4 linked regions of the Saccharomyces cerevisiae S288C genome follow. The protein of the gene in region 1 binds, or shares a complex with, the protein of each later gene. Each region holds a gene or a part of one and is shown in the gene's direction. Other genes may lie near its edges.

Region 1 (7,254 bases):
AATTGAAACAGGAGACGTTGTTTTATTCAAATATGAAGTAAACCAGTTTTACAGTGTTGAGAACAGACCAGAAAGCGGTGACCTGGAGATGAATTTCAGGCGGTTTTCTTTGAATAATACGAATGGTGTTCTCGTCGATGTGAGAGACAGGGCACCTACCGGTGTTAGGCAGGGATTTATGCCATCAACTGCCGTGCATGCCAACAAAGGGAAAACATCTGCAATCAACAACAGTAATATTGGATTTGTTGGAATCGCATATGCTGCCGGAAGCCTTATGTTGATCGATAGAAGAGGTCCTGCAATCATTTACATGGAAAACATTAGAGAAATCTCGGGAGCTCAAAGCGCATGTGTTACCTGCATCGAATTCGTAATTATGGAGTATGGAGACGATGGTTACTCTAGTATATTGATGGTCTGTGGTACTGATATGGGCGAGGTAATCACATACAAAATTCTTCCTGCATCAGGTGGAAAGTTCGATGTGCAACTAATGGATATTACTAATGTTACCAGTAAGGGTCCGATACACAAAATTGATGCATTTTCAAAGGAAACAAAATCTAGCTGCTTGGCAACTATTCCAAAAATGCAGAATTTAAGTAAAGGCCTTTGCATTCCTGGTATTGTATTAATAACTGGATTCGATGATATCAGATTAATAACACTGGGCAAATCTAAAAGTACACATAAAGGTTTCAAATACCCGCTTGCCGCGACAGGTTTATCTTACATCTCAACCGTTGAGAAAAATAATGATAGGAAGAACCTAACCGTAATAATTACATTAGAAATCAATGGCCATCTAAGAGTTTTTACTATTCCAGATTTCAAAGAACAAATGTCTGAACATATTCCATTTCCAATTGCCGCAAAATACATTACAGAATCATCTGTTTTAAGAAATGGTGATATAGCGATTCGAGTGAGTGAATTTCAGGCGTCACTATTTTCTACTGTCAAGGAACAGGATACGCTAGCGCCAGTTTCTGACACACTGTACATCAATGGAATCAGGATTCCCTATAGGCCACAAGTAAATTCATTACAGTGGGCAAGAGGCACTGTATATTGTACTCCCGCTCAATTAAATGAATTATTGGGTGGCGTGAATAGACCTGCATCCAAATACAAAGAGAGCATCATTGCTGAGGGAAGTTTCTCGGAGCGTTCTTCAGACGATAATAATGCGAACCATCCGGAACACCAGTATACCAAGCCCACCCGTAAGGGCAGGAACAGTAGTTACGGGGTACTAAGAAATGTTTCTCGAGCTGTAGAAACTAGATGGGACGCCGTTGAAGATAGATTCAACGACTATGCTACCGCCATGGGAGAAACAATGAACGAGGCTGTTGAGCAGACTGGAAAAGATGTAATGAAAGGTGCCCTTGGTTTTTAAATACATACACTAATTCATACAGGGTAATGAGCAACTTCCTTCTATACTTATTTTTTTTTAGTTCTATATGCTTTATAAATTAATTTGAATCGATTTATTTTTCATTATACATGTCTAGTTTTACGAAGGTTTGTAAATACATGAGCTATCAAGTTTATAATCCTTTAATTAAACGAGTGACCTCATTTAGACCATCTTCATGAATTTGTGATAACTTTTCTTGAACAATAGGAACAATGTCAGCCGCACTAACCAATTCACCATCATCATCGGCAAATTCTTGGCCCAATCTTTTGACACGTAATTTACCTTCTAAGTACTCCTCCTTACCGAGGATTACGGCAATGTGACAACCCGCTTTTTCAGCAGCATCGAATTGCTTCCTAGGATTAGCCTTGGCCTTATAGACATATTCAGCTTCAATGCCAGCATCCCATAATTGCTTAGTAACCTTCATTCTTTCGGGTAAATAACCAGTCCAGTCCTTACCACCACCAAAAGCCATAACGAACACCTGTGTAGCCGTTGGCTTTATAGTTGTAGAGGAATTAATTCTTTGTTTGATCAAAGAAAATATTCTTTCAACACCAAATGAAATACCAACACATGGAATTTGAGTAGATTTTTTGCCGGAAGCTTCAGAGAACATGTTGACCAAATTATCATATCGACCACCGGCTGCAATAGAGCCGACACCAACGAATTCTGACGCGTCTTCTGCAGATTTGGCCTTCTTCTTCAATTCTGAAGCATTCTCTGGTGGAGCAGATGCAGAAGTAACAACTTCATAGATCAAACCTGTATAGTAATCCAAACCTCTTGCAAGAGAAAGATCAAAAGAGATGAATGAGTCAATGTCAAATGCTTCGGTATACTTCATCAAAGTAGCAATATCATCCAAACCTTGTTTAGCCTTTTCGTTTGAAGTAATGTTGGCATCTGCGGATAGAACAGCGTGAATTTCCTTCAAAGAACCATTTAATTTAACATACTCACCGATTTTATCAGCAGTTTCTTCGGATTGACCTTTTTCTTCGGTCATTTCCTTCTTGACTGCTTCCCATGGAGATTTGTCCAACTTATCGACAGCAGAAGAGATTTTCCTCACATCCTCATCTTTAACACCAGCGATTTGGAAGATCCCATCAAGAATCTTCCTGTGATTCAATTTGATTTTGAAATCTTTGATTCCCAAACTGGTCAAACCTTCCACTAAAATGGACAAACATTCGGAATCAGGAACCATAGATTCGAATGTGCCTGCAACGTCAAAATCACACTGGTAAAATTCTCTCATACGACCCTTAGTCATGGCTGGTTGGTCTCTTCTGTAGACTTTTGCAATGTGATACCTCTTGATACTCTGAATATTGTTCATGGCAACGTACCTGGCAAAAGGAACGGTCAAATCGTAACGTAAAGAACATAATTCACCACCCTGGTCCTCCAAGTTGTAGATCAGTTTGGAGTCCTCACCATACTTGCCTGCTAAAATTTCTCTTAACTCGAAAACAGGTGTGTCGATAGTGACACCACCATGCTTCTTGAATAGGCCAGATAAAGTGCTAAAAATGGCTTCTCTGATAACCATATCACTATCAGCCCAATCCTTCGTACCCTTAGGTGTTTTCAAAGACACTTGTAGTTTACCTTTCTTTGGAGCCTTTGAAGCTTTTAGAGCATTAGCAGCATTAGCAGTAGGAGCAGAAGTAGCAGCAGCGGTAGCGGATGACATCCTGATTATCGAAGACGACTTTATAGATGTGACTACTTTATTTAGTGATCTACTAAGCATTAAGCAAGAGACGAGCAGAAAGGAACTATTCTAAAGTAACACATTGGGCCGTAAGACTCATTTAAAAGCCCGGTCGATCAAGGCCATAAGTCATCTTCGAGCTGGTTAGAATTGAAGAAAAAAAAAAACTTGATAAAAAATTTCAAACAAAAAAATTATCGCCTTACACGGAAACGAATAGATTTACTTATTACACAAGAGAGAACAGTGATTATAAGGAAAGAAAGAGATATATACAATATTTCCATCAAAGACGTACGCATCACGGCGTTCATATAAGTATATCATCGGCAAGTCTTCACACCTTTCAATACTTAGACTTGTTCACCTTGAGTGATCCTGAAAAAAAAAAATGATGGCCGCGTTTCGAAGAAAATAAAGAAAAAATAAAGCAAACCTCAAACAAGAAAACAAAGCGGAAAATGGTAAACAAGAGAGATAGAACAGAGTAGTAGGCTATTAGCAAAAGCGCGAGAATTACTACATTATAAAGGATCTGTCAAGAATGACATTGAATAGGAAGTGCGTAGTGATACATAACGGATCGCACAGAACGGTGGCTGGATTTAGTAACGTTGAATTGCCACAATGCATTATACCCTCTAGCTATATTAAAAGAACAGATGAGGGGGGGGAAGCTGAGTTTATATTCGGAACCTACAATATGATAGACGCTGCGGCAGAAAAACGCAATGGTGACGAGGTGTATACATTGGTAGATAGCCAAGGGTTACCGTACAATTGGGACGCATTGGAGATGCAGTGGAGATATCTGTACGACACCCAATTGAAAGTTTCACCCGAGGAACTGCCACTGGTGATTACGATGCCTGCCACCAATGGTAAACCGGACATGGCCATATTAGAGCGCTACTATGAGCTGGCGTTCGACAAATTAAATGTACCAGTATTCCAGATTGTAATCGAGCCATTGGCAATTGCCCTATCCATGGGCAAGAGTTCTGCATTCGTGATTGATATCGGCGCGTCAGGCTGTAACGTTACTCCCATCATTGACGGTATTGTGGTGAAGAATGCTGTAGTGAGATCTAAATTTGGCGGTGATTTCTTGGATTTTCAAGTACACGAAAGGTTGGCTCCACTGATTAAAGAAGAGAACGACATGGAAAACATGGCCGACGAGCAAAAAAGGTCCACCGACGTTTGGTACGAAGCAAGCACGTGGATTCAGCAATTCAAGTCTACTATGTTGCAAGTAAGCGAAAAGGACTTGTTTGAGTTGGAAAGGTATTACAAAGAGCAAGCAGATATATACGCTAAGCAACAGGAGCAGTTAAAACAAATGGATCAGCAACTTCAGTACACGGCGTTAACGGGAAGCCCCAACAATCCGTTGGTTCAAAAGAAAAATTTTCTATTCAAGCCATTAAACAAGACTTTAACCTTGGACCTTAAGGAGTGCTACCAATTCGCAGAGTATCTCTTCAAACCTCAACTGATATCAGACAAATTCTCACCAGAGGACGGACTGGGACCGCTAATGGCAAAATCAGTCAAGAAGGCCGGCGCTAGTATAAATTCAATGAAGGCCAATACCTCCACCAACCCAAACGGATTGGGTACAAGCCATATAAACACCAATGTTGGCGATAATAACAGTACTGCCAGCAGCAGCAACATATCACCAGAACAAGTATACTCGCTACTGTTGACGAACGTCATCATCACAGGATCTACCTCTCTGATCGAAGGTATGGAGCAACGCATAATAAAGGAGCTGTCAATCAGGTTCCCGCAATACAAATTGACAACTTTTGCCAACCAAGTCATGATGGACCGTAAAATCCAGGGATGGCTGGGCGCCCTTACAATGGCCAATCTGCCATCATGGAGCTTGGGAAAATGGTACTCTAAGGAAGATTACGAAACGCTGAAAAGAGACAGAAAGCAGTCGCAGGCTACGAACGCAACAAACTAGTGGTAAGGCGCAAATATCCAAAAGGGATTGTAGGCGGCTAGAAGGAGATGAGATCTCGACCCATTTTTCTCAGCGCCGGTAGTAGCTATCAGTAAGGAGTAAGCGGGTTTCCTTCAAGATTCAGTCCACCCCCTACTTTGAGTGAGGGACATATAAACAAACGCGATAACTCGATGAACCCATTCTAATATAAAAAAACTGTATAAATAGTTATATAGAGATGAACTCTAAGCTAGTGAGGCCCACTGTAAACAGCCATTTTTCAATATGCGCTACCCGGCGGCGGAATATCGTCCCAGCTACATGATAGCCGCTTTTTTGTCTCTCTTTGTCCCACCTGTTCAAAGACATTTGGTAATCAGTTTGTCAGGACAATAGTAAACAAAAGTGCGCAAGTACACATGCGCTGCACGTGCGGCCGGAACAATGGCGCTTTTGGCTCGTCCGGATGATGCGAAAGGGAAAATAAAATCTCGCAATCGGAAAAACACTCGCGAGAACCAAAACAAGGATCCCCTAAACCCAGTACCCGCATACGGTTCTCCCGGGGAAAAGGGGGCGGAGGCCGGACGATGAGTGTTACCCGGATAGGACTACGGATCGCTTCGCACGTTTGTTTACAATTGATGACTGCGCTCCCCTAATAGATAAGATAAGCTCGCGAAGGCAGAAAAAAAAAAGTCTTCTACAGCAGTTGGTCCGCACAGACGATGCCAGACGGTGTTTTATCGAAAATTTTTTTCGCATCATAGTGCCATTTGTGGTCATTATTATTCCCCAAATATGCGAAAATAGTACACTATTTTTGGCAGGAGAGTAGGCTGATATGCCGCATTGATGTCCTGTGTAGCGAAACACAAACAAAAAAAGAAAAAGTAGGATGAAAAAAAGAAAAGTAATATGAAAAAAGAGTGAAAAATTAATTCATTTGTTAGTGTAAGCGGTCAGGTGTAAGTAGTAGGCTTGATAATGAATTAAAGATGACTCCGACGCATATTGTTTGCCATGTTTTTATTTTAGTTTGTAGATTTCTTTTTTTGTAATATATAAGGGAGTGATTCTATATATCGAATTCTCAGGCTTGGTTGGTTCGTAGGTTGTTCTGTCTTTGTTTTCGTTAGGTAAGAACATCACACAAAGATAACTATAGAATCACATACATATTTGTGAGAAATTAACTTCATTTCATTTATAGAAGAAGTTCAACCGAAACAAAAATTAAACATAATATAATATAATATAATCAAAAATGGCTGAAGCAAGCATCGAAAAGACTCAAATTTTACAAAAATATCTAGAACTGGACCAAAGAGGTAGAATAATTGCCGAATACGTTTGGATCGATGGTACTGGTAACTTACGTTCCAAAGGTAGAACTTTGAAGAAGAGAATCACATCCATTGACCAATTGCCAGAATGGAACTTCGACGGTTCTTCTACCAACCAAGCGCCAGGCCACGACTCTGACATCTATTTGAAACCCGTTGCTTACTACCCAGATCCCTTCAGGAGAGGTGACAACATTGTTGTCTTGGCCGCATGTTACAACAATGACGGTACTCCAAACAAGTTCAACCACAGACACGAAGCTGCCAAGCTATTTGCTGCTCATAAGGATGAAGAAATCTGGTTTGGTCTAGAACAAGAATACACTCTATTTGACATGTATGACGATGTTTACGGATGGCCAAAGGGTGGGTACCCAGCTCCACAAGGTCCTTACTACTGTGGTGTTGGTGCCGGTAAGGTTTATGCCAGAGACATGATCGAAGCTCACTACAGAGCTTGTTTGTATGCCGGATTAGAAATTTCTGGTATTAACGCTGAAGTCATGCCATCTCAATGGGAATTCCAAGTCGGTCCATGTACCGGTATTGACATGGGTGACCAATTATGGATGGCCAGATACTTTTTGCACAGAGTGGCAGAAGAGTTTGGTATCAAGATCTCATTCCATCCAAAGCCATTGAAGGGTGACTGGAACGGTGCCGGTTGTCACACTAACGTTTCCACCAAGGAAATGAGACAACCAGGTGGTATGAAATACATCGAACAAGCCATCGAGAAGTTATCCAAGAGACACGCTGAACACATTAAGTTGTACGGTAGCGATAA
Region 2 (9,846 bases), on another chromosome or scaffold:
CTTTGAAATTTGAAATTATGCAAAACAGCGAAGGAAATGAAAACACTCTACTAAATCCGTACAATAAAGACCAACAGAGTGATGATGTGGGCCAATATACTAACTACGATGCTTGCTTGAAAATTATTAATCTAATGGCATTGCAACTATACAATTTTGACAAAGTATCATTTGAAAAGTTCTTCACTCATGTATTAGATGAGTTGAAACCAAATTTTAAATATGAAAAGGATTTGAAGCAAACCTGCCAGATTTTGTCCGCTATAGGTAGTGGGAATGTCGAGATATTTAACAAGGTCATTTCGTCAACTTTCCCCTTATTTTTGATCAATACATCTGAAGTTGCCAAACTTAAGCTGCTGATTATGAATTTTTCTTTTTTTGTTGACTCGTACATTGATTTGTTTGGAAGAACATCTAAAGAATCGTTGGGAACACCGGTGCCAAATAATAAAATGGCTGAATACAAAGACGAGATCATAATGATTTTGAGCATGGCCTTGACAAGAAGCTCCAAGGCAGAGGTTACCATAAGGACTCTATCTGTGATTCAATTCACAAAAATGATTAAAATGAAGGGCTTTTTAACCCCAGAGGAAGTTTCACTAATTATTCAATACTTCACGGAAGAAATATTAACGGATAACAACAAAAACATTTACTATGCTTGTTTGGAAGGGTTAAAGACAATCAGTGAGATATATGAGGATTTAGTTTTTGAAATATCATTGAAGAAATTATTGGATTTGTTACCTGATTGCTTCGAGGAAAAAATTCGAGTAAATGATGAGGAAAATATTCACATTGAAACAATTTTGAAGATTATTCTTGATTTCACCACTTCGAGACATATTTTGGTCAAAGAAAGCATTACATTTTTAGCGACAAAATTGAATAGGGTAGCTAAAATTTCGAAATCCAGAGAATATTGCTTTCTACTTATTTCAACCATATATTCTCTTTTTAATAATAATAATCAAAATGAGAACGTGCTAAATGAAGAAGATGCTCTTGCACTCAAGAATGCCATTGAGCCAAAATTATTTGAGATAATTACTCAGGAATCGGCCATTGTAAGTGACAATTACAATTTGACACTTCTATCTAACGTTCTTTTCTTCACCAATTTGAAAATTCCACAGGCTGCACACCAAGAAGAACTAGACAGATATAACGAGCTTTTCATTTCTGAAGGTAAGATAAGAATCTTAGACACACCGAATGTATTGGCTATTTCATATGCTAAAATATTATCCGCACTAAATAAAAACTGCCAATTCCCCCAAAAATTTACAGTGCTTTTCGGAACGGTTCAACTACTCAAAAAACATGCTCCAAGAATGACGGAGACTGAAAAATTAGGATACCTGGAATTGCTGTTGGTCTTATCAAATAAATTCGTCTCTGAAAAAGATGTGATAGGATTATTCGATTGGAAAGACTTATCAGTAATTAATCTTGAAGTGATGGTTTGGTTGACTAAAGGGCTGATAATGCAAAACTCATTAGAGTCATCAGAAATTGCAAAAAAGTTTATTGATTTACTGTCTAATGAAGAGATTGGCTCACTTGTATCGAAGCTATTCGAAGTTTTTGTCATGGATATCAGTTCTTTGAAGAAATTTAAAGGTATCAGTTGGAATAATAACGTTAAAATCTTGTACAAACAAAAATTCTTCGGTGACATTTTTCAAACACTAGTCAGCAACTATAAAAATACCGTGGACATGACCATTAAATGCAATTATTTAACTGCATTATCCTTAGTGTTGAAGCATACTCCAAGCCAATCGGTTGGTCCTTTTATCAACGATTTATTCCCGCTTTTATTGCAGGCTTTGGATATGCCTGATCCTGAAGTAAGGGTATCCGCTTTAGAAACTCTGAAGGACACTACGGATAAACATCACACTTTAATTACTGAACACGTAAGCACAATAGTTCCATTATTACTATCTCTTTCGCTTCCGCACAAATATAATAGTGTCAGTGTCAGGTTAATAGCCTTACAGCTTCTAGAAATGATTACGACTGTAGTACCTCTAAACTATTGTTTGAGCTATCAGGACGATGTTCTAAGCGCTTTAATACCAGTTTTATCTGACAAAAAAAGAATAATAAGAAAGCAATGCGTTGACACAAGACAGGTTTATTATGAATTAGGCCAAATCCCGTTCGAGTAAACGCTTGTATTTAATAATTTGTTCACATTGATGAGCACGTGAAAATCTTAGCGAGTATACTAAGTAAATATGATTCTTTTATGTATAGTACAGCAAAATAGCATTTATTTTTATTACGTTTAATCTTCTTCACTAGAGTCTTCCTCGTCGCTTAGTCCTACAGGTGCCAAACCCGGTGTCAGACCAGGATATCTATGATCTTTAACAAAATCGCTCTCTTTGATATCTTCCTTGAATTGTTTTCTTTTGAACCTTCTTCTTTTACTCCTGTCTGTGTTCGCAGTGGAAACTGTATCCTTCAAGATGGATTGCTGAATGTCTTCAAGCTCATCTCGTACTTCCTCTTCTAAATCCCACGACCTCAAATTTTGAGAATTCCTTTTGATTAACTTATTCAAATACTTCCTCTCATGGTCCGTTAATGTGCCCTCATGTTGATGTTTTTTCAAAACCTGGTGTTTTGCCAGTTGTTCAAGTTGCTCTTTATCTAATTTATGTTTCTTAACTTTTTTTTTTTTGACCAGTTTGCATTTTTTTTTAATTTTGTGAACGTCTCTGTTTTGTAACTGTACTCTCTTTTTCAAGTTCCTGTCGATTAACTGAGCTTTTGACCCATTGTTTACACTTGTTTTGCCATTATTAGCTCTGATTTTGGGAACGCCAGGCAAAAGGTTTGATAGCAGTCCATTAACAACCGAGGTGGCCTGGTATTTAGATGTTTGGCTCAGCGAAGATGACATTTTGGCCTAGCTAGCTCCCTCCTTAAGTTGTTCGTATTCTAAACAACTTTTCCACAAAACAATATTTCCACAGTTGCCAGCTATATTTCCATATTCCTTAGTTAAAGCTCATCGCAAAATTTTTCAAAGAGCATTAGGGTCACGTGTATACATTCACGTGACTATCTAGTACCCGCCCCGTGGCAAAAAAAGAAGACACCAATTTGGCACTGAGAAAAGAAAAAGTTTATCAATAACGAAAACGAAACTTAAGAGGAAAAAGAGTATAGAGAAAAACAAAGGCAATCAGCGGCTAATTTGGTGGAAATAACAACACAAAGAGGCAGCACAGTTTAGAGCAAGCGCGAATGCTTCAGGAACAATCTGAGTTGATGAGCACGGTGATGAATAATACACCTACAACAGTTGCCGCATTGGCTGCGGTTGCTGCAGCCTCTGAAACAAATGGAAAGCTGGGGTCCGAGGAACAACCTGAAATCACTATTCCAAAGCCGAGGAGTAGTGCACAGTTGGAGCAGCTACTCTACCGCTATAGGGCTATTCAAAACCATCCAAAGGAAAACAAGTTGGAGATCAAGGCAATAGAAGACACTTTTAGGAATATATCACGTGATCAGGATATCTACGAAACAAAGTTGGATACCTTGAGAAAGAGTATAGATAAAGGATTTCAGTACGATGAGGATTTATTGAATAAACACTTGGTTGCCTTACAGTTACTGGAGAAAGATACAGATGTCCCTGACTACTTCTTAGACTTACCAGACACCAAGAACGATAACACTACGGCGATCGAAGTAGACTATTCTGAAAAGAAACCAATAAAAATATCAGCAGATTTCAATGCGAAGGCCAAAAGTTTGGGTTTAGAATCAAAATTTTCTAACGCTACGAAGACTGCATTGGGCGATCCAGATACCGAAATAAGGATTTCTGCACGTATATCCAACAGAATTAACGAGCTGGAAAGATTACCTGCCAATCTGGGTACATACTCACTAGATGATTGTTTAGAGTTTATTACAAAAGATGATTTATCGTCCAGAATGGATACTTTCAAAATCAAAGCTCTTGTGGAATTGAAAAGTTTAAAGCTACTAACTAAACAAAAATCGATTAGGCAAAAGTTAATCAACAATGTTGCCAGCCAGGCACACCACAATATTCCATATCTACGTGATTCTCCTTTCACAGCAGCTGCACAAAGATCTGTTCAAATTAGAAGCAAAGTTATTGTCCCACAAACCGTTCGTTTGGCAGAAGAATTAGAAAGGCAACAACTATTGGAAAAAAGAAAAAAGGAACGTAATTTACATTTACAAAAAATAAACAGCATCATTGATTTCATCAAAGAAAGGCAGTCCGAGCAATGGTCTCGTCAAGAACGTTGCTTTCAGTTCGGTAGATTAGGCGCTTCATTACACAATCAAATGGAGAAAGATGAACAGAAAAGAATAGAAAGAACTGCTAAGCAACGTTTAGCTGCTTTGAAGTCTAACGATGAGGAGGCTTATTTAAAGCTTTTAGATCAAACTAAGGATACTAGAATTACACAGTTATTGAGGCAGACTAATTCCTTTTTGGATTCTTTGTCGGAGGCTGTTAGAGCACAACAAAACGAAGCAAAAATTCTTCATGGTGAGGAAGTCCAACCAATTACAGATGAAGAAAGAGAAAAGACTGACTATTATGAAGTCGCTCATAGGATCAAAGAAAAAATTGATAAACAACCTTCTATTCTTGTTGGCGGCACTTTAAAAGAGTATCAATTACGAGGTTTAGAATGGATGGTGTCGTTGTACAATAATCATTTGAACGGTATTCTAGCAGATGAGATGGGTTTAGGTAAAACCATCCAATCTATTTCTCTAATAACATATCTTTATGAAGTTAAGAAAGACATCGGCCCTTTCCTAGTCATTGTACCTTTATCCACAATAACCAATTGGACTTTAGAATTTGAAAAATGGGCTCCGAGCTTAAACACTATTATATACAAAGGTACACCAAATCAAAGACACTCTTTACAGCATCAAATAAGGGTTGGAAATTTTGACGTCTTATTGACAACATATGAGTATATTATTAAAGATAAATCTCTTTTATCAAAACATGATTGGGCTCATATGATCATTGACGAAGGTCATAGAATGAAAAATGCTCAATCGAAGTTATCATTCACAATTTCTCATTATTATCGTACAAGAAACAGATTGATTTTAACGGGTACTCCTTTGCAGAACAATCTACCAGAATTATGGGCACTGTTGAACTTTGTTTTGCCTAAAATTTTCAATTCTGCGAAGACTTTTGAAGATTGGTTTAATACTCCATTTGCCAACACCGGTACCCAAGAGAAACTAGAATTAACGGAAGAAGAAACTCTGTTAATTATTAGAAGATTACATAAGGTGTTAAGGCCATTTTTATTGCGTCGTTTGAAAAAGGAAGTGGAAAAGGATTTGCCTGATAAAGTGGAAAAAGTTATCAAATGTAAACTGTCTGGTTTGCAACAACAGTTATATCAGCAAATGCTAAAGCATAACGCGCTATTTGTTGGTGCAGGGACTGAGGGGGCTACAAAGGGTGGTATTAAAGGTTTGAACAATAAGATTATGCAATTAAGAAAAATCTGCAACCATCCATTCGTATTTGATGAAGTGGAAGGTGTTGTAAACCCCTCAAGAGGTAATAGTGATTTACTTTTCAGAGTAGCGGGCAAGTTTGAATTACTGGATAGAGTGCTACCGAAATTCAAAGCCTCAGGCCACAGAGTGCTAATGTTTTTCCAAATGACTCAAGTTATGGATATTATGGAAGACTTCCTAAGAATGAAAGATTTGAAGTATATGAGATTAGATGGTAGCACTAAGACTGAAGAAAGAACAGAAATGCTGAATGCATTTAATGCTCCAGATTCAGATTATTTCTGTTTCCTTTTGTCAACTAGAGCCGGTGGTTTGGGTTTGAATTTACAAACTGCAGATACGGTGATCATCTTTGATACAGATTGGAATCCACACCAAGATTTACAGGCCCAAGATAGAGCTCACAGAATTGGACAAAAGAATGAGGTTAGAATTTTAAGATTAATTACCACTGATTCCGTAGAGGAAGTTATTTTGGAAAGAGCTATGCAGAAATTGGACATTGACGGCAAGGTTATCCAGGCAGGTAAGTTTGATAACAAATCAACTGCAGAAGAGCAAGAAGCTTTTTTGAGAAGATTGATCGAAAGTGAAACGAACAGGGATGATGATGACAAAGCAGAATTAGATGACGATGAGTTAAACGATACTTTGGCCAGAAGCGCTGATGAAAAAATACTATTTGATAAAATTGATAAGGAGAGAATGAACCAAGAAAGAGCAGATGCTAAAGCGCAAGGCCTGAGAGTCCCTCCTCCTAGATTGATTCAATTAGACGAGCTACCCAAAGTATTCAGAGAAGACATTGAAGAACATTTCAAGAAAGAGGATTCTGAACCATTGGGAAGGATTAGACAAAAGAAAAGAGTTTACTATGATGACGGTCTAACTGAAGAACAATTTTTGGAGGCTGTAGAAGATGATAATATGTCTTTAGAAGATGCCATTAAAAAAAGACGTGAAGCACGTGAAAGAAGGAGATTACGTCAAAATGGTACAAAAGAGAATGAAATAGAAACCCTGGAAAACACGCCTGAAGCATCCGAAACTTCATTGATTGAGAACAATAGCTTCACTGCAGCTGTGGATGAGGAAACTAATGCTGATAAAGAGACTACAGCTTCCAGGTCAAAACGCCGGAGTAGTAGAAAGAAAAGGACCATTAGCATTGTTACGGCAGAAGACAAAGAGAATACTCAAGAAGAGAGTACATCTCAAGAAAACGGGGGCGCTAAGGTGGAAGAGGAAGTAAAAAGTAGCTCCGTTGAAATTATAAATGGTTCAGAATCCAAGAAAAAGAAACCGAAACTGACCGTCAAGATCAAACTAAACAAAACAACTGTGTTGGAGAATAATGATGGTAAGCGAGCAGAAGAAAAGCCAGAGAGTAAATCGCCCGCGAAGAAGACTGCAGCCAAAAAAACTAAAACTAAATCCAAGTCGCTTGGGATTTTTCCCACGGTGGAAAAATTGGTGGAAGAAATGCGCGAACAGTTAGATGAGGTAGACTCCCATCCAAGGACGTCCATTTTTGAAAAGCTTCCTTCGAAACGCGACTATCCGGACTATTTTAAAGTAATTGAAAAACCCATGGCCATTGATATTATATTGAAAAACTGCAAGAATGGCACTTACAAAACTTTGGAGGAGGTAAGGCAAGCCTTACAAACGATGTTTGAAAATGCTAGATTCTATAATGAAGAGGGATCCTGGGTTTACGTTGATGCTGACAAGTTAAATGAGTTTACTGATGAATGGTTCAAGGAACACTCTTCGTAACGTTTTCATCACCACATGTTTTTTTTTTTTACGACTATATCCCTTTCCCCTCTAATACTCTTTCTAGCCTTTTTTTCTACCTCTACATATGTTTATAAAATATATACCACTGTAACAATAAGATCGACAGAGCGAATATAATTCTTTGAGTAACTAATATCCTTTGGCTTATTCTCTGGGCTTATTAGTGCCGCAAAATAATTACCCGGCGGCGATGGACCAGTTAGCTTCGACCGTTTGCGATTCCGGGGCTAAGGAAGGGGCCTCTGCAAATAAGAAAGAGGCATTACACATAAATGATTGGCAAAGGGACTGCGGGAGTCAAGACCTACATGTAAGTCCGATTTACGATAACGGTTTAGATTCATTGGGTGTGTACTATTTATACTTTAACAAACCCGTGTGTTATTTAATAAGATCATATCTTGTTTGTTTTTCGCCCTCAATTTTGTTTCTGTCACATAGTCGCAGCAGCTGAATATAGATAGGAAGAGAGAAGGAAGCGATTCTCGTTCAGCATCATACTTCTTCCTAATTTCCCCAAATTAAAGTTTCGTTTGAAAGAAACAACAAAAGAGAAAGAAAGCAGTTTTTAGAAAATACTAAATTTTACCGTTATGCTAAGGTTCGTGTCTTCGCAAACCTGCCGGTATAGTTCAAGAGGACTATTAAAAACATCTTTACTTAAAAATGCATCTACTGTCAAAATTGTCGGAAGAGGGTTAGCCACCACTGGTACAGATAATTTTCTATCGACATCAAATGCCACCTATATCGATGAAATGTACCAAGCTTGGCAAAAAGACCCATCTTCAGTCCATGTTTCATGGGACGCATATTTCAAGAATATGTCTAACCCAAAGATTCCAGCTACAAAGGCTTTTCAGGCTCCTCCCAGTATCAGTAACTTTCCCCAGGGTACCGAAGCAGCTCCCTTAGGGACCGCAATGACTGGTTCAGTAGATGAGAACGTCTCCATTCATCTAAAAGTGCAATTGCTATGTAGAGCTTACCAAGTTAGAGGTCATTTAAAAGCCCATATAGATCCTTTAGGGATCTCATTTGGTAGTAATAAAAATAACCCTGTTCCTCCGGAATTGACTCTAGACTACTACGGCTTTAGCAAACACGATCTTGATAAAGAAATCAACCTAGGACCTGGTATCCTGCCAAGGTTTGCAAGGGACGGGAAATCTAAAATGTCTCTGAAAGAGATTGTGGATCATCTAGAAAAGTTATATTGTTCCTCTTATGGGGTACAATACACACATATTCCATCTAAGCAAAAGTGTGATTGGTTAAGAGAGAGAATTGAGATTCCTGAACCTTACCAATATACAGTGGACCAAAAGAGACAAATCTTAGATAGATTAACATGGGCCACTTCTTTTGAGTCATTCTTATCTACAAAATTTCCAAATGATAAGAGGTTCGGTTTAGAAGGTTTGGAAAGTGTTGTTCCAGGTATTAAAACTTTGGTTGATCGTTCTGTTGAATTGGGTGTAGAAGATATTGTTTTGGGTATGGCTCACCGTGGTAGATTGAACGTTTTATCCAATGTGGTCCGTAAACCAAATGAATCTATTTTTTCTGAATTTAAGGGTTCGAGCGCTCGCGATGATATTGAAGGATCGGGTGATGTCAAGTACCATTTGGGTATGAACTACCAAAGACCAACTACGTCTGGTAAGTACGTCAATTTATCGCTGGTGGCAAATCCTTCTCATTTAGAATCCCAAGATCCAGTTGTTCTTGGTAGAACTAGAGCTTTATTGCATGCCAAGAACGATTTGAAGGAAAAAACAAAGGCCTTAGGTGTGTTATTACATGGTGATGCTGCTTTTGCTGGGCAGGGTGTTGTTTATGAAACCATGGGTTTCTTGACCCTACCAGAATACTCTACTGGTGGTACTATTCATGTTATTACAAACAACCAGATCGGATTCACTACGGATCCAAGATTTGCAAGGTCCACACCATATCCTTCCGATTTGGCTAAGGCCATTGATGCCCCAATTTTCCATGTTAACGCTAATGACGTGGAAGCTGTGACCTTTATTTTCAATTTAGCCGCAGAATGGAGACATAAGTTCCACACAGATGCCATAATTGATGTCGTTGGTTGGAGAAAACATGGACATAATGAAACCGATCAGCCATCGTTTACTCAACCATTAATGTACAAAAAAATTGCAAAACAAAAATCTGTCATTGACGTCTATACGGAAAAATTGATAAGTGAAGGCACATTTTCTAAAAAAGATATTGATGAGCACAAGAAATGGGTATGGAACTTATTTGAAGATGCTTTCGAAAAGGCAAAGGATTACGTCCCATCTCAAAGAGAATGGTTAACTGCTGCCTGGGAAGGATTCAAATCCCCAAAGGAATTGGCCACTGAGATATTACCACATGAACCAACTAATGTTCCAGAGAGTACTTTGAAAGAACTAGGTAAGGTACTCTCTTCGTGGCCAGAAGGTTTTGAAGTGCACA
Region 3 (7,768 bases), on another chromosome or scaffold:
ATGTTGCTAGTAATGCAGCTCAAGCAAATTTATTTTATTGGCCTACATAAAGAAAACTAACTCTACAACTTTTACGGTATAAATATGCAATGTGATTTAAAAAATCACTGAAGTGTGTCAGAATATGAGAAACTTTAAGTGAAGCGTCATATTTTTGTGCCCTCATATCAAAAAAATGCTTTAAAAGCAGTCAACCAATGTGCCAAAAATTTTCAAAATTCAGGAACTTGTTGTTCGGCAGACTTTTATTCTGCCTGCTAAAGATCTGCCGACCTACCATAGCGGTCATGTTAATTGTAACGGCTATATCTACTGGGTAGACTGACAGTTGATTTCCTTCGAACGCCAACTCTCGCATTGCCATTTTTAGAATCATCGTTAAATCTTTTATCTCTTTTCGGTAAAAAACTAGATATGACTGATTTGGCCCCACTACCTGCGGCTTCGTTGAGCGTTGCAGGTGGGTCTATTTTTTTGATCCAATAGCTAGCTAAAAACCAGCTTATGACAGCTAGTAAAAGCAGTACCCCCAAAATTCCATACCACCACGCAATACTTCCATTTCTTCCTGGAACTTTTACATTCATACCGAACAGACCAGTAATAACATTTAATGGAACTAACATTGTACCTAACATAGTAACTTTACCCAACATTTCTGTAACTTTATTATTAGAGTTAAATGATTCCACTTGTAATTGGGCCAGGTAGTTTGCATGTGATCTAGAAAAAATCTTTTCGTACGCCAATAAATTTTGAAACATCGTCAACAAATGATCCTGAATATCACCTAAGTATAAAGCAATATCTCCCCTTGGTTGTGATGTTGTTTGCATATAGCTATTTGATAAGCTTATTTGGTTATTACTATTATTCTGGTTCACATTCTCTTGTTCCGCTTGTAAGTTCACCATGTTAGTTTGAGATTTAAGCACTGGCCCAATACCATTAGTTTCATCTTGACATCTTTTGGCGAACATTTTGATAACATCTGCTTTACCGCTCAAGAGTCTCATCAGCGTCATTGTCTTACGCCTACTTTCACCAATCCTTTGTAACATGGCTGCAAAATCCATATCACGGGTCATAAACACTGAATCATCAATCGAATCAGCTTCATACTCGATGGATTGAATAACCGGAGCAAAACTATCTGTGATATCATCGATTAAAGCATAACATAACCAATCTGAATTGACACTGACATAGTCACGTAATTGTCTTACACGTCTTCTTACATTGGCACAGTGTGATATTGGGTCAAAATGAAAAGTCAAGACACCTGACCTAAAAACAACGATGTAAACATTTATAGGTTCAAGATAATTCTCCGATTCTTTATCATTTTCAAATGTATGGAAACAGACAAAGTAATAGGATTTGAAAAGCTCTACCTTTTCACGCGTTTCTTGCATCCTGATATCTTCCGCGGTCAAAGGATGGATTCCAAATGTTTTTGCTATGCAACGCATTTCATCATCAGTTGGACAACTGCAATCCAACCACCACGTTGGATCGCCTCCCTTGAATAACTCATAAAACGTCTGTCCCTCGGATATCAAAGAAGGGATATCACTAGCATGCACAGTTTCATCAGATTCAGAGCGGAAGAACGAAAATCTACTAGGAATTTGATATTCTGTATTTTGGAGGGTATAATACGCCCGGCTATAACTCGAATCATTTCCTTCTTTTTCACCTTCAATCTTATTTCTACCAAATGTTACGTCAGGGTGTAGATCAGGTTTATCATCTTCCCTCACAGATTCATTGTTTTCAGATACGTACATCTCATTAACGCTGCAATTTTTTTCAAGAGTCCGTGAAATTTCAGGTGTATATTTCAGAGCTGCTGAGGATCCTGAAGTGGAAGCAGAGTTAGTAAATCCAGTATCTTGGTCGGTATGATTGTATGTTCGTTCACTGTGCCTTTGATGGTTCGCCAAAGACAGATTTCTTTCAGCATTTGAAATCTGGGCATATTCTTCCAACTCATCAAAATCAACACCATTAACTCTTGTATGTAATAGTCGAAACATTGGAAAACAAACGTCTTCTTCTGTTTCTTGAGAATCCCTGGATGCTTGCGATATCTCACTATGGAAAGATACCCTGCTATCCATACGTAACGGTTTAATTCTTCGTGTGTCATTTCCCATATCGGACTTTTGCGATGCAGTTCTTGTCAACAACGTTGTAGGATTGACTGATGAATGTGTCGATATTGTAGAATAGGTTCTTCTCTTAAGTTTCGCCTGTTTGGGATGCGTACCATGCTCTGATTCAGCCGATGTTTCAAAGATTGCGCTAACTAGCGAAGCCTTACGAGCGCTTGTAAAAGTTCTTGCCGAGGAGGAGGCTTCTAAGTTGCATCTGTTACTTGACGTACCGGCAGGTAACGCCGTATCATGGCCTCTCTCTAAAGCCGCATTCTTTGGCAAAGAGGGAGCGATGCTCTCTACATGAATCTGCTTTTGGTGAGTTTCAGACTTTGCTAGCCTGGATGGCCTCGCATTAGAACTTAAAAGCGCGAAAGATCTTAACTGGTAACGTTTCACTGCTTCTGCTTCTGCTTCACCTTCAAAATCCATGCGGCCACTTGTGGATATATTCGTTTTCTCCACATAGCCTCCATTTTCCACTCCACTATTCTCCCCGTTAGAGGAACTAAATTTGTGTCTAGAATCTTTCGTTTCGTCCACTTTCAATGCAAGCGCTTCGTGACGTATTGGTTGTGCATCAGAATACTGCCTATAGTTCTCTAATTTTGGGTACTTGCCTGTCTTCATGGAAGCCGCCGTATTGTCAACGGATTTTGACCTTGGTAAATCTGACGATGAATCAAATGAAGTGGATAAGGACGACATTACGAAGTTTTTTCACGTTTTCTCATAAAAATTCAGTACTTCTATAAAGGTGATTAAAATATATTCCTGTCGATTTTTTTATCCAACTGACAGTACATTTCCATGTAAGTAATTGTTTAGCAATAGTAGTCTCTACCGTCCTTGCTGAACATTGAATAGAGGAAATAAACGCTGTTGATTTTACCTTTCCACTTTTATAATATAAACCTCTACGTTAAAATATCATATGCTCGAGGAAAACCTGATTTCTCTGGAAGCAGCCACTTTCGTGAACAGCCAAACCAAATGCTGCATTTTTCGAAGAAAATTTTTATCTCAAGGAGTCGCTTTTGTAACTTATAGCCGGTCAGGCAGTAAAAACGTACCTGAAAGAATAGTTTGATAGTAGGATATGGACAACGGTTAGTTTTGTCTGTACTTCTTGTATACAGGGCCTCTGTCAAATGAATGTGCGTATAAATTAATGGAGGTCTTGCATAGTTTGTTGAAACTTGGAAGAACTGTCAACCTTCACATATATGATATCCACGGTCTAAGCACGAAGGGCACTTCTTGTTTCTCACATTTAGGCAACTACGATGTGGGAAGTACAGCTCAGTTACGGAATCTAGCACGTAGGAAGAATAAGCGATAAGTGTTCCCTTCAACACATCCATAAAGGAGTTTAGCAGCTGATATATTTGTCGTATCTAAAAAAATTTTCAGAGTATTATGACCTCGTCAAGTACAACGGAAATATATCCTGACATGGAAAGATTAGCCGTTCAGAAAGTGGCCCTGTGCATTAAATATAGTTGTAGTTTCAGCCGTCTATATTTTTTTTTCGAACCATCACTTTTCCCTTTCTGGACTTTTCTCAATGTAAAAACAAGAAAAACATGGAATGTATAATACTATAAATAAAAAAAGTAGGAAGAAGAACCAAAACAAAGGGCGTTTTAAAGAGAGACGAATATGCTTGGCGAAGATGAAGGGAATACCGTTCTTGAAAAGGGAAATAATCCTTCTGTAAAACAAGGAGAGGTTGGAGCTGTATTTATAGTACCCAAAATACTTATCAGAGAACATGAAAGAGTGATACTTAAGCAAATTCTGCAAATCCTGGATCAAGATGAATTGGTTCAACCTCCCTTAGACAAATTTCCCTACAAAAAATTAGAATTACCGAAATATATAGATGAACTTAAGACGAGAGACGCTACTAATACATCCTACAAGATGATACAATTGGATGCTTATGGTGAGAAAAAAGTGGGTTCGAACGGTGAATTATTTGGCGGTAGACATTATTTGTTCAACACCTTCACATTCACGGCTCATATGGGTGTTCTTCTGGTACTTTTACAAGATGTCATTAAAGTGTTATACCAAAGCAACGCAACGCATGACGAGGACGAGTTTATTGTCCAGCATGATCAAATTCTGGTAATGGAAACTTCTGAGGAACAAACAAAATTTTTGGCCAAAAATGGTGTCATTCCTGAAGAATCCAAAGGATCTTTTAAGTATATAACTGCCAGGTCAGCCTTTGTTGAATTCGGTGCTTCTGTTATTGCCGGTGGTCAACGCATCGTTGATGATTATTGGGAATCTTTAGCTAAAAAGCAAAATTTGTCGTCTCACCAAAGGGTTTTCAAATTATCAACAAATTTAATTTCTAAAATCTCACTTTTACGCCCCTCCTTCCAAAATAACAGGATTAGCAATGCCAATGAAATTAGTGCGAACACTAATAATACCTGTACGATTTCTACTTCAAAATTCGAATCACAGTATCCAATAGTCACGGAACAACCGTCAGCGGAGATTAGAGAAGCCTATATTGAAAACTTTGCCAAAGGTGAGCACATTTCGGCAATTGTTCCTGGTCAAAGCATTAGTGGAACATTGGAACTCAGTGCACAATTTAGAGTACCGCGTTATCACAGCAAAAACTCATTTCAACAAGCTCTGCAAATGAAGGCAATGGACATACCAATCGGAAGACATGAAGAATTACTTGCGCAATATGAAAGTCAAGCTCCTGATGGTTCCGCTTCAATTTCACTTCCTAACCATATTCCATCTGTCAATCCTAGCAATAAACCAATCAAACGAATGCTAAGTAGCATTCTTGATATTAACGTTTCCTCATCAAAAAACAAGAAGTCTGAGGAGAACGAAATGATAAAACCCATGAACAAGGGCCAACACAAAAATAATACATCGTTAAACATAAACGGCTGGAAATTTGAATCTTTGCCATTAAAATCCGCCGAGAATTCAGGTAAACAGCAATATTATAGAGGATTGCCGTTATATGAAAAAAACACGCTGCTAGAAAGGTTGAAACAGCTGACACCGAACGAAATTAAAGAACTAGAGCATTTACACGATGCCGTTTTTGTTAATACCGGTTTGCAGAACGTTAGAAAAGTTAGGACAAAAAAATGGAAAAAGTACTGGCAGTACAAGGCAGGTATTCCTATCGGTTTGAAACGGTCTCAATTGGATGAATTCAAAAATAAATATTTGAAAGATGTGTTGGCGCAAACGAGTGTTACTACAAATTTTAACGAAATAACGAATACGGATGAAACAATAACAACAAAGAGGGTACCGAACCCAAACTTCCTAGGAAATTGTAACATTAAGGATTTTAAACCTCCATACATTTATTCTCATGTGAACAAAGTACCACAAAATGTCGCTGGGGATAAAACGGCTGTTAAGCTGGACACTGAAGTAAAGAACACAAATGCTAATCCAGTGGTGGCGACGGATCCGGTCGCCGCTAAACCGGACAACCTGGCTAACTTCAGCAACGAAGTAGCTATGAATAATTGAAAGAAGTAAAACATAATGTAGGGAACACTCCAATAAGAAATAAACCATTGTTGAAGTAGTAATATAAACTATCGTTCGTTATTTTATAAAATATGTATTGTTACATATATATACATATATAGGGAATGCATGTGCACAATTGGTTTGAGTGGAAGGAATAATCCAAAATCATAGCAGTTTGGTCTTTATGATCTCTTGTCTGATTCTGAATGTGTAATATGCCATAACCAACATAATGAAAATTAATGGAAGTAACCAAATCATTAGTTTTCTGGCAATTTCGTCGACCTGAGGACCATCTTGTCCATGACGTTTGGTAGCTTCCCTATACTTTTCTTGTTCAACCAGGACTTTCTCCAATTTCTGATTGATTGATAAGAAGTCTTTGAAATTTTCTTTATCCTCAGCGATTGCATCATCGGTGGACGTTCCCTTTTCATTATTAGCTGGTGGCTTAGAAGAGAGCTGTTTAGTTATCGTAGTCATGAATGATAATAGCTCTTGTTGGACCTTAATGACATCATTTAGCTTTGTTTCTAAAGCATTGATATCGTTCGCAAGAATTTTACCTTCAACTCTATCCAGTTTCTTATACAATTCATAGTTTGTAATTTTGTCTTTGTCAGCGTCAAATGCTGTTTTTTCAATCAATTTTTCTTTGCCGGTTTGTTGGTCAATGTATTTGGTGATCAGTTTTGGCTGACCCATTGCATTCACATTAGGGATCAAAGAATCTTCAATCACGCCATTAAAAAATTGCATTTTGAATATTTCAAAAGACTCTGCATTATTATTCACTGCTCCATTTTGAGCGGTGACACCAATACGGTAAGACCCAGAGGGAAAGCGAACCTTCCTAGTTTGGAAACAGACTTTATTGTCCACCTGAACTTTTAATAAGTTGTCGTCTTCCAAATCATAAGTTACTCTGATCGTGGAAGGAACGGAGGAATCCTGATAACCCATCAAACAAGATGCAAAACTCTGATCATAGATTTTCGTCTTATCTACAGGCTTTTGACCATCATTTAGTTGACCACGAAGTGTTGGGCCCAATGGACCATTGTTATCCACTAATAATTGTAAACCATCATAGTTCACTGGCCCATTGTATAACTGCTTATCGCGTGGTACGTTAGAATCTTGAACAAACCAAAATGATATGCCACCGTCGGTTTGGCCAGAATAACCAACACTCCTAAATGTCCACTCCATAGTAAAAGAATCCTTCAAATCGAATCCTTGCTTCAACCAAAGTGAACCCTTGGAATTTTGCTTAGAAGTCAATACAATTCTCCCTTCCTCTAGACTAGCTTGTTCTCCAGTTTGCCAGTTATTGGGCACTTTACGTGCATTAATGAGATCAGGGAGCGAGTAGTCTGAGCTTAATTTGGATGCATCTGAAGTGTCACCCAATGGATGAGCTTCTAGCAATCCAGCCCATGTCGCTAAGACGGTAAAAACACTCAACAGTACTGTACTTTTCATAGTAATTAACATCATCATAAAATACAAATTCCCTGATGCTAACTATTTGTTAATTTTATTGGTATAATTATAATTATTCAATACCAATTAAGGCTTCTATTAAAAGATCAAAAACATTCTTAAGAGTTCATACTGTTTCTCTACTCGTGTATAGTGATACCAAGACGTAATGACAATAATAGATGGAAATTGAAATATTATGAAACAGGAATAATATTCCGTTGAATTGTAATAGATGTTGTACACCTGCAAGCGAGCATGCTATCATTTTGCGACTATTTTTGGTCTGAAGACCTTGTCTCAGGTCTAGATGTGCTTTTTGATAGATTATACCATGGTTGTGAGCAATGCGACTTGTTCATTCAATTATTTGCGTCAAGAATGCAATTTGAAGTCAGTCACGGGAGGCAGTTGTTTGGTATAGAAGCCGGTATGGACAATCTGAAGGCAGTGCAGGAAGATGAAGATGAAGGGGTGACAGTTTCGAGGGCCCTGAGGGGAATTCTACAGGAAATGTCTCAGGAAGGGACGCATCACTTGACAATAGCGTCGAACATAGAAAGTTTGGTGCTGCAGCCATTCAGTAA
Region 4 (6,127 bases), on another chromosome or scaffold:
GAATTTGAACTAATCATTGCACCCTTATTTTTGCACGATATAATATTTTTGATATCTTTCGAGTTCTTCTTGTAAATAGATAAAATATCGATGCATTTATCTAGAAGACTGCTCAAATCTTGATCTTTTGCCTTACCAGTTATGATGAATTCGTTAATTTTAGCCTCTGCAATAGCGGTTAGTTGTGCTATCGTAAGGTACTTCGACCGGTGACGAATACACTCATCCCTTATGGTACTAATAATATTCTGCTCCATAACTTAAGCATGTATCAAATAGTAAAAAAAACTTTGGAAGCGTGCACACTCAGTCTTAAATCTGCCCTATACTACCGAAGATAAATACATGAACTACACGTATCATATAACATCATATCCTTTTTTTTTTTTTTTTTTTTTTTTCTAGGCTTTTACTAATACAAGGGCCTTAGCCATTCGCTAAACGTAATGAACGATATTGAAGCAAATGAAGTAAAACAATGTGGAAAGCAAATAAATAATGGTTATAGTTTTGCACTTATATAGATATCAATAAATGATATGATATGACTAAATACGATAGGACCAGGGGGGAAGGAATATAGATATGTGTATGACAGAAACTACATGCATATACGAGTTTGTACCAAGTGCTTCTTAATAAACACCGTCATCTGGCCTGTTTTGTTCGATTCTAGCGTCATCTCCCTTTTTTTTCAAATCTTCCATTCCAGGTTGCTTATAATCTGGATTCTTGCCGTGTTCCAAAGTGTCCAACCTCTTCTTGTTGCTATCAAACAAACCCTGTTCTTTTTTCTCAGCTTCATCTTGATTGTTCTTTAGGTGAGGAAAGGCGGCCCTAGTGACGATTGAGAAAGACGCCCTTGGCGATTTACGCATCAATTGTCTTGGAGTGCGCAAAAAAGTGGTTCTCAACATTATCAAATATATTCCTGTGTATTATATATGTGATACTGCGGTCTGGCTTCAACTGCTGTTGGAGTATTGTAGGAACAAGTATTCAAGGCCAAAAAAAACTAAGAGCCAACTCAAAGGCCATATCTACCTAATCAAATCTTGGGACCTTTATATACTTATGTGCTTTTACGGTTCCCTTAGATTCTGTACAGGAAGAAGGGGTTGATACAGGAACAAACCCTTTACAGTAAAGGTATCCTTAAAAAAAAAGGAAGGTAGTACGTATATCTCTCCAAGAACTGAAAAGAACCCAATCACCGGAATTAAGCAGTGATATCTCAGTACGGTCAAGGATGTAGGGTAGCACCAGTAGTAATGATTTTAATTATACTTGGCAATTTTAAAATATACAAAAATTATATGTAGTATTTATAATTAGACATTTGTAAAGTGCGTTAAACTAATGATCTAGTTGTCGTATTCTTCCTTAATTAGTTCTCTCTCCATATCGATCCATTTCTGTTCTGCGAAGTTTTTGTCCTTAGCAACATTGGTGTTCTCAGCAATGATCTTGAAACCAACTCTTTCATAAAATGGTATCAATGGCTCGTGAGCAATAAGGACAATTTTGTTACCAATTTCCTGATTACTCAATTTCTGAATGTAGTCAGTTAAAAGTAAAGTAGCCAGGTTTTTTTTCTGGTATTCTGGCTTGATTACTACAGAGTGAATACCAATATGATTACTCGATTCCACTTGTAATTTGCCCATGCTTTCGATAGTAATGTATTCATGAGGTATCTTAGTACCCATAATATGACCAATTAGTGTCTCCTTTTTAACTTCTTTGCCCTCGATCTCTCTGATGAAAAGACCTGAACATAGCTCTGGACAATTGATCAAACGAAAGCTGATAATTTCTTCTGAAGCTCTTTCGTTTGGTGGGAAACCTTGGCTTTCCAAGTTCAAAATCTGCTTTAAATCTTCAATGATTAAGGGTCTAATATACATATGAAGCGGTAGCGTGCTACTTGAGGAGGCCATTTTAACTTTTTATTTAATCGTAATGTATTGGTGTTATTTTTTCTCCGAGAAAAGTATTCTGATGTCCAATTCTTCTTAATCTAGTTTGTTGTAAATTTTTCTTACAAACACTTGCTCCCGCTTCTTGTCCAGTGGGATGTTCGTCGTTCTTCCATTGCTTTTCCATTTTTGCCCGTTCAAAACTATTCTTTTTATGAATTGACAGAAAACCAAAAGCAAGCCGATTTCAGGTTAACCCTTTATTAAAATAAAAAAAAAAAGCATGCATAACACTAATAATATATTATTAAAAAAAAAGCCAATCTATATTATTTAAATTATCCGAAATTACTTTTATTACATTATGACATTCTATAGTCTATGCAAGCGGATCAAAAAACCATTCCATCTTGGTGCCACAAAATACTCTCATGCCAAAAGTGCGAGCTTCGTTTCTTGTATCCACTTTGTCGCCTAACCTTATATGAATCCACTTTTTTAAAACTTTTGGTTGTAAAACAAACCAGTTTATGATGATGAAACTTGTCATTGCATATAAAACACCAACGAAAAGGTCAAATCTATAATGGTGGTCCAGATACATGGTAGCCCACCATTGTAGTATTATATATAGGATAGCCCAGAATTTTGGTATAAACCCATCGTTGACTATTTTAAAAATCCATTTGTTTGTGAAGTTCGTGTCTTCATCATATAAATGGACAAACTGGAGAGGTTTCTTATTGCCATTGCTGTTAATAATGCTGCCGTCGCCGCCGCCGGTGCTTCTTTCATTACTGGATACGGTGAATGAAGATGAAGGGGAGGAGGACCGCTCATTTGAAATATCTACAGGCTCAACGGTACCCAATGGTTCCATCTCTAAGTCGTTAGGGCCAATCGTGGGCGGTATGCTATTGTCACCTTCATCTTCGCTGTCTTCCTCACTCAACTTGAAAGTGGAAGAATCATTATTGTGCATTGTGAAACCTCCAGCATTGGAAAATCTGTGTTTTAAGCTGGTGGACCTTGAAACCAAAAACAAGAAACATTGAAATGCAATGGCGGAGTGTAGTGAAGGAACAGCACCAAACACAATAGGAGACATGTGAAATCCTTTAGTGTTCAAATGAGTACCCAAATGGCTATCTACTCTTATCAAACCGGCAGCAAACCCTTCCTGGGTGTAATTAACATGTTCGGTGTCATCAATACCGTACAGATGAGTAAACCATGGGGAGGCCATTGGAACAAGCAGATGGGTAAGGACCCCCGCTATATTTTGTAATCCTAGGGCAAAACTAAAGCATTTTAAAGTCCCCGGTGGTTGGAAGACGTATAAGTATACAGCTGTTAAAATTGGAGCTGTCAAGTGCAGGATGACATAGGAGAACCAAGCCAGTAAATCCTTGGTCTTAGTAAAGTTTGCATCCGACTGGTAAGCAAAGAAATGATCAATGTTGAGTATAACAAATGTAAACAGGGGCAAGGCAAACGGTATGAAAATTGTCCGAAATCTCTTTTGGATCGGCCGCTGCTTGCGCTTGCAGGGGTAATGAAAAATATTTGCGAACCACTCTAACAGATTATAGTTAACGTGCTTAATGTAATAGATGTAGTACCAAATGGCAAAGGGAATACATATCAGAAATACTAAGAGAAATGCAGAAGATGATATGAATGACCAGAAAAATAGCTTCGAAGTATTATCGGGCAATTGTACAGTAAGTTCATGCCAATAGTCCCCAAAGAGGAATTGATCAGCAAAAAAAGCAAACTTGCTATGAATGTCAGGTCTGAGCCTTATGGGTATCAGACCAGCGCGCTTGAATATAGACAGCCAAATAAACACTGGCGCAAAATTAAGCATGAAGTTGAACGGCAGGCTTATTAGATTACGTTGGTTCAAACTTGCATTATACATGTTTTTGACGAAACTCGCCAAAGAAAATATGACATTCATGCTTTCTTAGACGTTGAAAGACTTTAGGTGATTCTTAGCAGAAATGATAACGTCCAACCGGTGAAATAAAGGAACAGTTAGGGTGGCAATGAAAAAGTAGCGATGCTTATGAAAACACTATGCCTTAGGTTTCCTTTTTTTATTTTTATTTGACAAGTAGCGATTACTCTTCTATTGTTCCTGGTTTTTGATGCTCGAATGTATTATATAAAAATGTTGTGGCCGGAGGTCTGCATTTCTAGGCATTTTTCCTTTTTCTTATTTTTTTTACTTTCCTACTAACTTTGCACTTCGTAAGAGAATTTACACCAGAACTCTCGATTGAGGCGAAGAAGGCGGAGAAAAAAGCCGGTAAAAAAAAAAAGCGGAATCAATCAGCACAATCAGAGGCGTCAAGAAGCGGCGCGGGGATAATGCTTTTTTCCCGTGGCGTTCACATTTTTGTTCCGCGGAAAGCACGTGAGCGTAATCCACTCGGGAAGGGCGCAGCTGCCGTGGCCAACTGAAGTAATCTTTAGCCGTTTATCGCCGCGCAAAACGGCAATTGCACTTGAGACCCCAACGGCGCTGTGCAGCAGGGTATTCTACTACGTGTTAGCTTGCCTTGCATTTCCCCATGCGTCTCGAATAGGAATTATTCAAGATGGATTATTGGCATTTACGAGTAACCAAGGATAACCCCGCTGTGCGGTGAAACCACCCTCTTTTCACGTTTCTTCAAGGCCAGTGCAAACGCGAATAAACATATCTACGCTATATATAGATATGACGTTTCTCAAGCCAACAGAAGTAGATAAAGCAGCCAGGAGGGTAGAGAGTGTTCAAATTATAGCAAGCCTTCTTCTACCTGTTTTTTTTTGATGATTGTTTTGCCGGGTAACAATCGACTTTCGGGCAAATTTTTTTTCCTTTTTTCTCCTAACAGTATATACGGAGTGGAGAACAGACTTCCCATAAAAGCATATTACGTGGGGTCGTAGTAAGATTGCCGTTTATGATACCCTCTATTCAGGGCTCAGAGCGCATCACGATCGGGAGTGTAAATTCAATGTGCATATAAGCAAAACACACAGATTTCCTTTTTTCCCAGAAAAATGAGCAGTGAAATTGCCTACTCGAATACGAACACCAACACTGAAAACGAGAACCGCAATACTGGCGCTGGCGTAGATGTAAATACAAATGCAAATGCAAATGCAAATGCAACTGCAAATGCAACTGCAAATGCAACTGCAAATGCAACTGCAGAGCTGAACCTCCCCACGGTCGATGAGCAAAGACAGTATAAGGTACAACTGCTATTGCATATCAACAGCATATTACTTGCTAGAGTTATTCAGATGAATAATAGTTTACAAAACAATCTACAGAACAATATAAATAATAGCAATAACAATAACATCATCAGGATACAGCAACTTATATCTCAGTTCCTTAAAAGGGTTCATGCCAATCTTCAATGCATATCTCAGATAAACCAAGGAGTGCCCTCAGCGAAACCACTGATCCTCACGCCTCCTCAGCTAGCCAACCAGCAGCAACCTCCACAGGATATTCTTTCTAAACTCTATCTTCTCTTGGCAAGAGTGTTCGAGATATGGTAGAATAACTTTGTTTCTCTTCCCTTTTTTATTTTGTTTTTTTTTTTTTACTTTTGCAATTTTAATTTTGCATTCAGCTACAGGTGTGATTGCATACCCGCAGAGCAAGTACAGGAAGCATAAGAAAAATAGAATACGAAAAGCAGAAAAAGAAAGGCAAATAACAATCACTCAAGTACTACAACTGCATGAATTTATCGTATGTAATGTACCCAACGTAAATAATAATATTAGTATTTTAAAATCTATGACATCAGATGTAGTTATCTTACTGCCAGCCCTATTAATACTACTTTCTTATTATCTTCTTCGAGAGCCACCTTCGTCATCGTCGCAGTAAGCATTGTCATCTTCATCATGCACGTCGGTAACGGAAGCCTAATCTCAATATCTACTAGTTTACTCTACGCCATTTGGAGCGTAGCCCCTTCTCCTTTTGACTCTCTGACTTTTCCCTCCCCTCCTTCTCTTCTGGCCTAGCCTAACCTAGTCTAGCCTCGCTGGACCCCCTCCTTCCAACGGTCAACCCCTTCCTTTCTATTCTCTTCTCGTTCTCTACGTAAGGAACTTGTAAAAGAAAAAATTTGGTGCCATACAGGGAAATCGGCAGTGAGACGGAGCGGCCGAGGGTCTGATTATAGGGG

The links.
Region 2: the proteins of ARP7 (region 1) and STH1 are in contact, whole or in part, in a cryo-EM structure (PDB 6VZG), measured with the Saccharomyces cerevisiae proteins. Residues at the interface, in NP_015359.1 of Saccharomyces cerevisiae: Glu25 (codon at 3,778), Leu26 (codon at 3,781), Leu147 (codon at 4,144), Ser148 (codon at 4,147), Gly150 (codon at 4,153), Lys151 (codon at 4,156), Ser152 (codon at 4,159), Asp171 (codon at 4,216), Gly172 (codon at 4,219), Ile173 (codon at 4,222), Ile344 (codon at 4,735), Thr442 (codon at 5,029), Asn445 (codon at 5,038), Leu446 (codon at 5,041), Pro447 (codon at 5,044), Ser448 (codon at 5,047), Leu451 (codon at 5,056); in NP_012140.1 of Saccharomyces cerevisiae: Arg320 (codon at 4,228), His323 (codon at 4,237), Leu324 (codon at 4,240), Lys326 (codon at 4,246), Ile327 (codon at 4,249), Ser329 (codon at 4,255), Ile330 (codon at 4,258), Ile331 (codon at 4,261), Phe333 (codon at 4,267), Ile334 (codon at 4,270), Arg337 (codon at 4,279), Ser343 (codon at 4,297), Gln345 (codon at 4,303).
Region 3: ARP7 (region 1) and SWP82 share a complex: the UniProt entries of both Saccharomyces cerevisiae proteins name them as parts of the SWI/SNF global transcription activator complex.
Region 4: ARP7 (region 1) and SNF11 share a complex: the UniProt entries of both Saccharomyces cerevisiae proteins name them as parts of the SWI/SNF global transcription activator complex.

Annotation. Positions count from the first base shown.
Region 1 is NC_001148.4:635,820-643,073, forward strand, and holds ARP7 (Arp7p), read left to right. Parts: upstream 1-3,705; coding exon 3,706-5,139; downstream 5,140-7,254. Other genes in the region: Rab GTPase-binding protein SRO7, read left to right, coding at 1-1,405; HTS1 (histidine--tRNA ligase), read right to left, coding at 1,560-3,200; GLN1 (glutamate--ammonia ligase), read left to right, coding at 6,389-7,254. UniProt on the Saccharomyces cerevisiae protein: Component of the chromatin structure remodeling complex (RSC), which is involved in transcription regulation and nucleosome positioning. RSC is responsible for the transfer of a histone octamer from a nucleosome core particle to naked DNA.
Region 2 is NC_001141.2:114,722-124,567, forward strand, and holds STH1 (RSC chromatin remodeling complex ATPase subunit STH1), read left to right. Parts: upstream 1-3,270; coding exon 3,271-7,350; downstream 7,351-9,846. Other genes in the region: MET18 (Met18p), read left to right, coding at 1-2,183; RRT14 (Rrt14p), read right to left, coding at 2,303-2,923; alpha-ketoglutarate dehydrogenase KGD1, read left to right, coding at 7,968-9,846. UniProt on the Saccharomyces cerevisiae protein: Catalytic component of the chromatin structure-remodeling complex (RSC), which is involved in transcription regulation and nucleosome positioning. RSC is responsible for the transfer of a histone octamer from a nucleosome core particle to naked DNA.
Region 3 is NC_001138.5:32,982-40,749, forward strand, and holds SWP82 (Swp82p), read left to right. Parts: upstream 1-3,821; coding exon 3,822-5,693; downstream 5,694-7,768. Other genes in the region: putative Mg(2+) transporter ALR2, read right to left, coding at 291-2,867; EMP47 (Emp47p), read right to left, coding at 5,862-7,199; GTPase-activating protein RGD2, read left to right, coding at 7,440-7,768. UniProt on the Saccharomyces cerevisiae protein: Involved in transcriptional activation. Component of the SWI/SNF complex, an ATP-dependent chromatin remodeling complex, which is required for the positive and negative regulation of gene expression of a large number of genes.
Region 4 is NC_001136.10:587,463-593,589, forward strand, and holds SNF11 (Snf11p), read left to right. Parts: upstream 1-4,976; coding exon 4,977-5,486; downstream 5,487-6,127. Other genes in the region: ubiquitin-specific protease DOA4, read right to left, coding at 1-257; FMP16 (Fmp16p), read right to left, coding at 636-917; PAA1 (polyamine acetyltransferase), read right to left, coding at 1,365-1,940; IPT1 (inositolphosphotransferase), read right to left, coding at 2,299-3,882. UniProt on the Saccharomyces cerevisiae protein: Involved in transcriptional activation. Component of the SWI/SNF complex, an ATP-dependent chromatin remodeling complex, which is required for the positive and negative regulation of gene expression of a large number of genes.